Linked DNA regions of Cricetulus griseus. The protein of the gene in region 1 purifies or fractionates together with the protein of each later gene. This does not show direct contact. Links are inferred from orthologs where the notes say so. Each region holds a gene or a part of one and is shown in the gene's direction. Other genes may lie near its edges. The genes, in order: Isg15, Hspb1 and Flnb.

Region 1 (3,210 bases):
ACAAAGCAAAAAGAAAGAAAGAAAGGAAGGAAGGAAGGAAGGAAGGAAGGAAGGAAGGAAGGAAAAGAAAGAAAACCAGACAAGCAGGGGACATAGAAGGAAGAGGCCTCAGGAACTCCATCCCATCTCTGGTTGCCATACTGATGGTTAAGGTTAACTTGTGAAATGGGCTGTCTTCATTCATATAGTCATTGGAAAGAAAAATAAGATCCTACTCCTTTAAAAATGTTTGCTATTGGGCTGGGAAGATGGCTATGTGGAAAGTAATTGAAGAAGACACTCAACATTAATGTTGACCTCCACATGTACAAGCACACATATGCATACATACATGCAACATAAATACATAAACAAAATTTATATATCCGATTCCTTCTTCTAGACTCTAAGGGCATCTGTACTCACATATGCACATCTGAACCCACACCCCATATCCAATCTACATAATTAAAAATAAACCTTAGGAAAAAATCTGAGGAGTAAGTATATAACTCAGTAGTTAGAGTACTTACTTAGCATGCATGAAGCTCTGGGTTCCCCATCACTGCAGAAATTGGCATAGAACATGTGTAACTGTAATCTCAGGATTTGGACAGGAAAGAAAGGAGGATCAGTTTAAGGCCAGTTTCATAGTGAGTTTGAAGTCAGCACGGACTGCATAGAAGGACTAGCTCAAAAACCATCTGACTCAATTATTACCTCTTCATGTAAACAATAAGGTCTTAATAAATTGTCCTAGGATAGAAATACTTCCTACTGGCCAGATGGTGGTGGTGGCCGAAGTGCATGCCTTTAATCCCAGCACTCAGTGGGCAGATCTCTGTGAATTTGAGGCCAGTCTGGTCTACAGAGCAAGTTCTAGGACACCCAGGGCAACACAGAGAAGTCTGAAAACAACAACAAAATGCTTCCTATAACCCCCCCCAGTACATTCTAATAATTATTGTCCTAAACAAATAACCAATAGTTGTTGTCTTTGGGCAGTTTTGATTGTCACTACTTTGTGCAGTTTCTGAATTAATTATTGTGGCATTTTTCCAAGATAACTAATTTTCAAGCTGATAAATGAAAAATAAGTTTCCTATTATTAGTTCCTATTATGACTTTTACATGCCTTATAAAGGATCTGAAATGCTGGATATTTAGGGGGTTTCATAGTACACAGGTCTCAGTTGTGATCTTGACCCTGGAGAGCCAGTCCCTTTTCTTCTCAGCTACAGTTTCTTTTCCTTTGGCTTTGGTTTTGGTTTTCCCATTCATTTAAGGTATGCCTTGGGAAAATGAAACCGAAACAGAAGGCTGCTCTGACTCCGCCCCTTGACACCCACAGCTCATACACTTAAAAGAGCTGCCCTCTCACACATCTGTCTCTGGATGTGAGAGAGAGAGCAGCCAGAAGCCTCAACAAGCAAACTCCTCAGTTCCTGCAGGGGACCTAGTGATAAAGCCTACAGCCATGGTGAGTCCTATTTGGGGCAGGAGCAGATGGTTTCCATTCTAGTTGGCTTTCCTCCATTCCTTGAGAGGGTCTTCAAGAGGTAGAATAGTCACAGTGTGGAAACAGAATATAGTTGCTCAAAGATCACTATGAGGGAGGGATTTAGGTTCCTTGTCTGCTCAGCTACCAGCCCTAGATCCCTTAGGGCTGGACCCAGAAGGATATCTTGGTGGGTAAACTGAAATGTGATGGTTGTAGGAGTTTGGTCCTTTAGAACTGACTCCTCTGTATCATCCCCATACCTGGATGGTCCCCTCTGATGGAGGAGAGGATGGGGGTGGGTATGGGAACTGGTCCTGTGACCAGTGCTTCAGATGTAGTAACTACCAGTACTGGTGCCAGAGGAGTCTTTAAACCTTTAAAGTGGTTCTCAACCTGTGGGTGAAGACCCCATTGGGGTCAAATGACCCTTTCACAAGGGTTGCATATAGAATATCCTGTATATCAGATATTTAAATTATGATTCATAACAGTAGCAAAATTAATTATGAAGTAGCAATGAAAATAATTTTATGGTTGGGGGTCACCACAACATGAGGAACTGTATTAAAGAGTAGCAGCATTAGGAAGGTTGAGAATCATTGCTAAACCCATGTGATGCCTGCAGACCTGGAACCTGAAGGTGAAGATGCTGGGGGGTGACGAGTTCCTGGTGCCCCTGACTAACTCCATGACGTTATCGGGACTGAAGAGGCAGATTTTCCACAAGACTGGTGTTCCAGCTTTCCAGCAACGCTTGGCCCATGAAAGTGGCAACATGCTACAAGAGAACATTGCCCTCATCAGCCAGGGCCTGGGCCCTGACAGCATTGTCATGTTGATTGTACAGAATTGCAACAACCCTTTGAGCATCCTGGTTCGGAATGATCGGGGCCGAAGCAGTATCTATGAGGTCCGGCTGACACAGACCGTAGCAGAGCTTAAGAGGCAGGTGTCCCAGAAGGAGCACATACAGGAGGACCAATTCTGGCTGAGCTTTGAGGGAAGGCCCATGGAGGACCAACAGCCACTGGGGGAGTATGACCTAAAGCCCCAGTGCATAGTGTTCATGAATTTGCGCCTTCGGGGTGGGGGGGTAAGGAGGGTATGCTATGCCTGAGGCCTCTATCCATAGCCTATGTTGGTAATAAAAGGTGATCCAATGAGAAGTTCTGCCTCCTGTGCTTGTCCTTCAAAAATGTCCATCAGTTGCCTTCTCTTCTACATTCCTGCTGAGGTCAGGTGAAAGAACCCAAGTCCATCCATTGTGACAAGGCCTTATGTTGCCAAGCTAAGGGACAAGGATTTCACAGTTAGAGCCTAGTCAGAGAATTCCCCTTCCAAACCCTTTGGGTAGTTCACATCTAGAGAAAGACACTTTTTCTGGGACCCAGTTCTGAGACTCATCCAGCCCCTCAACAACTAGTCCTGATCTCTGTATCTGGCTTAGGGACAGGTCGGGGTAGGTCTGTAAGTAATAGGATGAGGCTCCTAATGGGACCAGTTGCTCCCCAGATCCTTTGGAAATAGTGAAGGAATGTTCTCGGACCTGCCTGGGTGGGTTGTGAAGGAGGGTGCTGTATTTTTCTGTGGGTGTTTCTAGTCCCACCAGCACTAGTCCACAGAAGGGTAGGGCAGGGCCTCCCTACTCACATCAACCAGTTGCTATTTAGGACATGGGTGTTTAGCAAGTACACCTCATCAGGGCTATAAAGAGGGCCATTACTGGCATG
Region 2 (3,455 bases), on another chromosome or scaffold:
GAGAACAGCCAGAAGCATCTGGAAGAGTCCAGAGCAGAGAGAGAAAGTAGTAGACTGAACATGACCAGCAAATTGGGGTGGGGGAGGTGAGAGAGGAAAGCAAAAAGAGTGGGGGCAAAGGAGACTAAGAGAGAGGGGGTCAAGAGAGAAAGAGAAAACAGGGAGAGGACCAGGAGAAGGCACAGGTGGAATAGGAGGGTTATAGGGCAATGGGAAGCTGGGGCGAGAAGCCCACTAACTGGAGAACTTTAGGGTAGAGGGTGAGATGAGAAGAGCCAGCATTCCCTAACAGGTACTTGTGATGTTGCATGAGCCTGGAGGCCAGCAAGCCGCTTTGGGATGCTAATAGGCACGACAGATAGCTCTTTGTTCCGAGTTTCTTTTGTACCGGACACACAGCACTTATATAAAAGCTGAATCTGGCTAGTCATAGCGGGGCACGCCTTTAATCCCAGCAGAGGCAGGCAGATCTCTGAATTTGAGACCAGCCTAGTCTACAGAGTGAGTTCCAGGACAGTCAGGACTACACAAAGAAACCCTGTGTTTGGGGGAGGGGGCTGAGTGTGGCCACCTGTGCGGCTAATTCCTGTGCTGAGCTGGAAGGGTGGGGCAATTACAGAGACAGGAGGGCAGTATGGGGCTCCAGTATGCCCAGCCAGTTTGCAAGCTCCAGAGTCAATAAAAGACCCTGTGAAGGAAGGAAAGAAGGAAAGAAGGAAGGAAGGAAGGAAGGAAGGAAGGAAGGAAGGAAGGAGAAAGAAAGAAAGAAAGAAAGAAAGAAAGAAAGAAAGAAAGAAAGAAAGAAAGAAAGAAAGAAAGAAAAATCTATCAGGGCCAGATAGTTCAGTGGACGAAGGCACCTGCCACCAAGCCTTTGCTCCCCAGGATACACATGGTAGGAGAGAGCTGACTGTTGCTGGTAGCCCTGAGACCTCCACAGGTGTGCATGGCATGTGTGTGTCTACACAGGCGTCCCTCTGGTTCAGACCAGACTCAGTTGTTTCCCAGTTGGACACAAAGGACCTAACTTCCAACCGTAGTCTCAAAAGAAGGATGGGACAGGGCCGCAGGCCACCGCCCTTCAGCCCAGGCAGTGAATGCCCGACAGTGGGAACAGCTCCAGCTACCGGTATTACAGTCATTTGTTTTCTTCAACTAGAGAAGTTTCCAGATGGGGGCAGAACCTTCCTGGCCCCGCCTGCCTGTCCCCTTTGTAAGCTTAGGGGGAGGAATGCAGCGGGGAGGGCCGGCCCCTAGACGGTCATTGCCATTAATAGAGACCTGAAGCACCGCCTGCTAAAAATACCCGGCTGGACACCCATAAAAGCACGGCCGGGGCTCCAGTTCGGCACTTCTCGGATCATCTGCCCTGACCCGCACAGCCAAGAACATGACCGAGCGCCGCGTGCCCTTCTCGCTGCTGCGGAGCCCCAGCTGGGAACCATTCCGGGACTGGTACCCGGCCCACAGCCGCCTCTTCGACCAAGCCTTCGGGGTGCCCCGCTTGCCGGATGAGTGGTCGCAGTGGTTCAGCGCCGCTGGTTGGCCCGGCTACGTGCGCCCACTGCCCGCCGCGACCGCCGAGGGACCCGCGGCGGTGGCCCTGGCCGCGCCCCTGGCCGCGCCCGCCTTCCACCGTGCGCTCAACCGGCAGCTGAGCAGCGGAGTCTCGGAGATCCGGCAGACGGCCGATCGCTGGCGCGTGTCCCTGGACGTCAACCACTTCGCTCCGGAGGAGCTCACGGTCAAGACCAAGGAAGGCGTGGTGGAGATCACCGGTGAGTCCCCCTTGTCCCCACAGGGAGAAGCCAGCGGGCTGAGCGCCCCGGTGGCTGTACCGGGTGGGCGGGGGGAGGGTGTGAAGCCAAGAGGGATGGGAGCCTGGAAAGCTAGAAAGGAGCTCCGAGACCGGGAGGCCAGTGTCGTTCTCCCTGGCCAGCTTCCCTTGCTGCGGAACCCGGGCGCAGGCTGCGCCTAAGAGCCTGTCATCCTCGCTGATAAGGACCAACAGCTGGGGGTATAGCTCAGGGCAGAGCCTGGCCTGGCCTACGGGAAGCCCCGGGTTCTACGCACAGCAACGCACCCTCTGGAAGACCCCATTCCCAAATAAGGAAGTGCCAGGACTCCTGCCAGTGTCCCCGGTCCCAGCCACGGAGGGGGCCGGCACACAGCTCTGAGTGCGCCTGCGCTGGTGTCCAGCCTGGATCAGAGCCAAGCCCAGTATCCCAAATCCCAGAAACGAACTTTCTGGAAAGTTTTAAGATGACTCCAGGGAGTCAGGCATCTCACCGCACTCTCGTGTGTGTGCTGCCTTGGAGTCCCAGCCACTCCTTAGCAGGTGGTGGGGTCTGCTACCACACAGCAGAGGCTTGTCTCTGACCTCCTTCTGTCCCACCCGCAGGCAAGCACGAAGAAAGGCAGGACGAACATGGCTACATCTCCCGGTGCTTTACCCGGAAATACACGTGAGTTCTGGTTCCTTGCGTGGCTGGGTGGAGGAAAGCGGACCCAGGGAGGAGAACAGAGGGGCCGGGATCTGGAGGGATGTGTAACCCTTGTCCTGTTTTTCTTCTTGTCCAGGCTGCCTCCCGGTGTGGACCCCACCCTGGTGTCCTCTTCCCTGTCCCCTGAGGGCACACTTACCGTGGAGGCTCCGCTGCCCAAAACAGCCACACAATCCGCGGAGATCACCATTCCGGTCACTTTCGAGGCCCGCGCCCAAATTGGGGGCCAGGAAGCTGGGAAGTCGGAACAGTCTGGAGCCAAGTAGAAGCCATCAGCCTGCTGCATCCCCAACAGCCATCACTCGCCACCCCTCTCTATCAGTCTTTATGCTCTTTTGATACATGTACTTTCTGTTTTTCTCAAATAAAAGTTGGAAGCTACTGCTTGCCACCGTCTCAGACCCCGGTGTTTCTGGCGGGCTAGGGATGAGTGCTCCTTTGGTGTCTTTGCGATGGGCTCAGCCCCTTCTTGGGTTCAGCCTAACATTTCCCTAGGAAGAAGGAAAAAAATGATAATCTGGAGATTAAAATTTTACCAGGGTGGGGCTGGGCATGATGGTGCATGCCTGTAATTCCAGCACCCAGAAGCTGATGCAGGAGCATGGTGAATTTGAAGCCAGCCTGGACTACAGAGTGAGTTCCAGGAGTGCCCGGGCCACATACTTGTTGTCTCCAAAACAAAACAAAAAACAGGAGCTGGGGATGTAGTTCACAAGAGTGATTGTATGGCATGAGGCACTGTTTGACACCGCCCCCCACCCCCGCCCCAGCTTGCACACACACATCCAAAAGCATGGTAACGCATACCTGTAAGTCCAGCATTACAGAGGATCAGAAGTTTAAGGTTATCCTTGGCTATATAGCCAGTTTGAGGTCAGCATGGGACACATGAAAACTATGTCTCAAAAGGAAATTAATGGGGAATTGGAGAGATGGCTCAGAGGTTAAGAG
Region 3 (4,148 bases), on another chromosome or scaffold:
TCTGAGAGTTCGAGGCTGCCTGGTCTACAGAGTAAGTTCCAGGACAACCTACAAAGCAATACAGAGAAACCCTGTCTCGAACTTCCTCCCTCCCCCCATCATTCTGAACTAATCAGCTTGCCAAGTACAACCAAGGGGACCTTTCAGAGAGTTCTAGGATGATGTGACTATGGAGAACTAAGGAGGTAACAGGATGAGAAAGATTTTGTGCCTCAATTTAACAGGCTTTGAAGATAAGGAAGGCATCATAAACCAAAGCACGGACACAGCTTCTAGAACCTGTAAAGGCAAAAGAATCTATTCTTTATCAGAAATTTCAGTAAGAAATACACCGATTGGGCCAGTGACATCAGTTTGGCTCACTAAAGCACAGATGGGACATCTAACTTACAGAGATGCAAAGTAAGAAATTGTGGAACCGGGAGGTGGTGGCGCACGCCGTTAGTCCCAGCACTCGCAAGGCAGAGGCAGAGGCAGAGGCAGGCGGATCTCTGTGAGTTCGAGACCAGCCTGGTCTACAAGAGCTAGTTCCGGGACAGCCTCCAAAGCCACAGAGAAACCCTGTCTCGAAAAACAAACAAACAAACAAACAAAAAAAGTGAAATTCTTGACGTCAGGTTTTGGTAATTTGCTACATCAGTAAAAGACAACTAATATCCATAGAAAACAATGTTCATTTTCACCACTGCTACCATTTTCACAACAGTGTGTGTGGCATTAGACTTTAAGGTTGAGTTTCTTGACATAAGGAAATCAATGTGTCTAATTCACCATTGCCTTGCAGGCTCGGAGAACGGGCGCCTCCCTCTCACTGAAACAGCAGATGGTTTGCACATTCTCTCCATGGGGCCCTTCCGTCTAGTCCCCTGCATCTGCAAGTGCTCTGATTCTGGGCCTTTCCCAGGTTTCTTTCTTCTAGCTGGCTATCATCACATCAGGTTGGTGAAACCAAGGAGACAATCCGGAGTAGTTCAGGCTTTGGGCCATAGAGGGCGAGCACAGCTCAGAAGTCCCCTTCTTTAAAGGCCTGAACGGGGCGGAGCCTCGGGGGCGGGGCAGCCTAGCGCGCAGGCGCCAGGCCAGGCTACTTGGGCGCTCGGGGGCGAACCAGGGCAGAGCAGCTTCTGTTGCGGCTTGGGTAGCAGCGAGTTCGAGCCGCTTTCCCACTTGCCTCGGTTTCCCCCTCCCTGTGTGCTTGGGGCTTTTTAGATCAGTCCCTGCAGCTCGTTGCCTCTGTGTGCGCTCTCCGCCTCCAGGATGCCGGTGACCGAGAAGGACCTGGCGGAGGACGCTCCATGGAAGAAGATTCAACAGAACACGTTCACGCGCTGGTGCAACGAGCACCTCAAGTGCGTGAACAAACGCATCGGGAACCTGCAGACTGACCTCAGCGACGGGTTAAGGCTTATCGCGCTGCTCGAGGTGCTCAGCCAGAAGCGCATGCACCACAAGTACCACCAGAGGCCCACCTTCCGACAGATGAAGCTGGAGAACGTGTCGGTGGCACTGGAGTTCCTGGACCACGAAAGCATCAAGCTCGTGTCCATCGGTGAGTGTTGCGTCCGGGCCCAGCGTTTGCAGAAATCGGGGTACCGGCGGCGCGCCCGCCCCACCTCGCATCGTTTCCCCGGGCTGGGTGTTGGCGCCTAGGATCTAGGAACCTAGGCCTTTTCCTCGGTGCCATCTGTGGGCTGGGACCTGGCGTGATTGCTCGTTGGGGTTCGCCTGGCGGTGCTGCTTGCAGTGTTGCGGGTGGGTTAAGCACTGAGAACCTCCAGCTGTAGCTGCAGATTTGATTGCGGGACCCCTTGGGATTTCGAGGGAAATCATCTGCTGACCCTGGTGGCAGAGCTCTGGAGTCAAATACCAAATCCCTACTTCTTGCTAGCCAGGTGTGCCCAGTGTGATCCGCCCAGGTTGAAAGGGCGTTGGCTGGGAGTCTGGGAGACCTAGGAAGCGACTGTTCACTCTCTGGCGTGGGATCTCTCCGCCTAGGTGGAGACAGGACCTGAGACTCTCCTCTCCCCTTCCAACACCGGAATGGGTGTGGGCCCTGGGAGTAGGGGAATGTTCTCACTTCTCACCTCTGGCTCAGTGTGGCGGGTCGCCTCAGGTTGAGATAATTTAGTGGTGATAGTAATTAATGTCTGTAGAAGAAGGCTTAACTAGCTCTGTATGGCCACAGCCTTCTAAATTATCTCAATACTTAATCTCCCATGGACTGAGATGTCCTAGGGCCCATTTTACAGAAGAGTGGACGTTTAGAGGGCTAGTTGGCTTGCCCAAGGTCACCGCAAGTATGATCTAGCTAAGAACTAAAGCAGGAGACAGTTTTTCTCTTCCCTGTCCCACTCCCTTCCCTGGGTCTTCCTGAGAAGGCGTTTGAGTCTGGCTTCTTTCCTAATGTCTCGGGGCTAGAGAATTAAAGTCTGGAGTAGTTGGAGGTTTTCTAAAGAGGTTCGTGACCGTAGGAACAAGTGAATTGTAGTATATGTGAGGGCTCGCTTCTTTGCCGTGCGCACATACGTATGTAAAGATTTTTGTGAACACAGTGGGTGTGCAGAGTATCACGTATGCAGAGGGTGTGCGCACTCCACTTTGTGTGTCCATGGAGGGGGTTACTTAGGCTGGGGTTTCTTCCTGAGGAAACAAGGCCATTATAGTGACTCCAATGACAGAAAGGAAGGTGGGTGTGGCTTGTCGGACTTTCTCCAGGGGAAAGGGGTTTCCTCTATACTGAACCTCCTCCCAGCCTCATGCTGGACTTTCCCCACACCTGTGCTGACAGGTAGGTCAGCTTCCTACTTCCTGAGTCCAGAAAGCTACAACACCAGCCTGCCCTCCTAGCAGGATCTCCAGGCATGGTTTCCGGGTTCCCATCTCCCATACTGAGAAGGGAGGACCTCAGAATTGCAGAATTCCACAGGAAGTTTTTTTTTTTTTTTCCCCCATGAGGAATGAACCTTAAGGTCTGCCTGGCTGAGCTCAAACACAAAGTTGTGTGTTTGTTTAATTAACTCAACAATTTTTTTTTAAATTAAACCAGGAGTTAAACATGACATAGAATCGCTTAAAAAAGAAACCATAGCACCAGAAAAAAATCAAGGACTGCCTAATTTATCAGCTTTTTACTCATGGGCAGCTGCCTTTAGCATGGCTCCACAGCCAGCTCCAAGCTTGTGAGTGTCATTCTGGACTTGTTCAGTGGTCCCCTGCAGTTGTCTAATTGGTCTTCTTGATTTCCAGCCACGAACCTGTTGAGGCCTGAGTCTCCTTTGTCTAACATCCCAGAGATACCTTCCATTCATCTGATATGGGTCTGTCACCCATGGCCAGCTTGTTGCAGTAGACTTTCACAAGTTGTACTGTTTTATTTGTCTTTTAAAAATATTTCTTGGACTACATTCCCCAAGTGATATTCCTAAGTTAGAGGGTGTGACCACATACAAATCCTTTCTAGTTGCTTTCCAGAAAGATCTGTTAGCAAACAGGTTTTCTCTGGAGACCTTCCCATCTTGCCAGGGGCCCAGACTGCTGAGGGAGGAGATGGAGCCAAAGGCATGTTCTTGCTATGTCTAGGGATGTTGTAGGTAATGACCCAACCATAAAATGTCGCCTGCTTTGGACTTGGGTTTGCTTATTCACTGTTCACTTTATGCTCACCATGGCACTTTCTATAGGGCCACCCACTGTGTGTTGTATTCTGATGAGTACTCCCATTGAATATCCAGGATAGCAAATTGATAGTAATTAATATCCTTCTGATAATGATCTTTCCAAGCAGTCCTGGGAGGGTCTTATGGTTGCTGTTGTTACTTTCACTGTGGTCATTATTAGTGTCCCTACTTAAAGATTGGAAACACTACACTGGGCCTAGAATGAAGCTTTGTTGAATTTGAACTTTGAGTGAATTTCTTTCTAGTGTCAGAGGTGAAAACAATACAGCCTCCCTTCCCTCTCCCGGATTAAAGGGCTGATGTAGCCTACACTTTGCAGTTCCAGGGTGTTGGAGTGGCAGCTTGATACCCAAAATTTGAACCTTAGCCTCATATGCAATAGGGATCATGGGGCCTTTGATGACAAGATTAACCCACTGGGCTGTGATAGGGCTCCAGAGTTAAATGCTGTGACTGTAAGGAGGTGGGTGA

What was found.
Region 2: the proteins of Isg15 (region 1) and Hspb1 purify together in Homo sapiens (affinity purification with mass spectrometry; 3 studies listed by BioGRID, with this or other methods). This does not show direct contact. The link is inferred for Cricetulus griseus from reciprocal best matches to the Homo sapiens genes ISG15 and HSPB1.
Region 3: the proteins of Isg15 (region 1) and Flnb purify together in Homo sapiens (affinity purification with mass spectrometry; 3 studies listed by BioGRID and IntAct, with this or other methods). This does not show direct contact. The link is inferred for Cricetulus griseus from reciprocal best matches to the Homo sapiens genes ISG15 and FLNB.

What each region holds. Positions count from the first base shown.
Region 1 is NC_048595.1:121,488-124,697, forward strand, and holds Isg15 (ubiquitin-like protein ISG15), read left to right. Parts: upstream 1-1,302; 5' UTR 1,303-1,456; coding exon 1,457-1,459; intron 1,460-1,983; exon of another isoform or gene 1,984-2,105; coding exon 2,106-2,597; 3' UTR 2,598-2,646; downstream 2,647-3,210.
Region 2 is NC_048597.1:114,890,620-114,894,074, forward strand, and holds Hspb1 (heat shock protein beta-1), read left to right. Parts: upstream 1-1,238; 5' UTR 1,239-1,390; coding exon 1,391-1,778; intron 1,779-2,401; coding exon 2,402-2,465; intron 2,466-2,580; coding exon 2,581-2,770; 3' UTR 2,771-2,893; downstream 2,894-3,455. UniProt on the Homo sapiens protein: Small heat shock protein which functions as a molecular chaperone probably maintaining denatured proteins in a folding-competent state. Plays a role in stress resistance and actin organization.
Region 3 is NW_023276807.1:75,740,877-75,745,024, forward strand, and holds the start of Flnb (filamin-B), read left to right. Parts: upstream 1-1,257; coding exon 1,258-1,549; intron 1,550-4,148. UniProt on the Homo sapiens protein: Connects cell membrane constituents to the actin cytoskeleton. May promote orthogonal branching of actin filaments and links actin filaments to membrane glycoproteins. Anchors various transmembrane proteins to the actin cytoskeleton.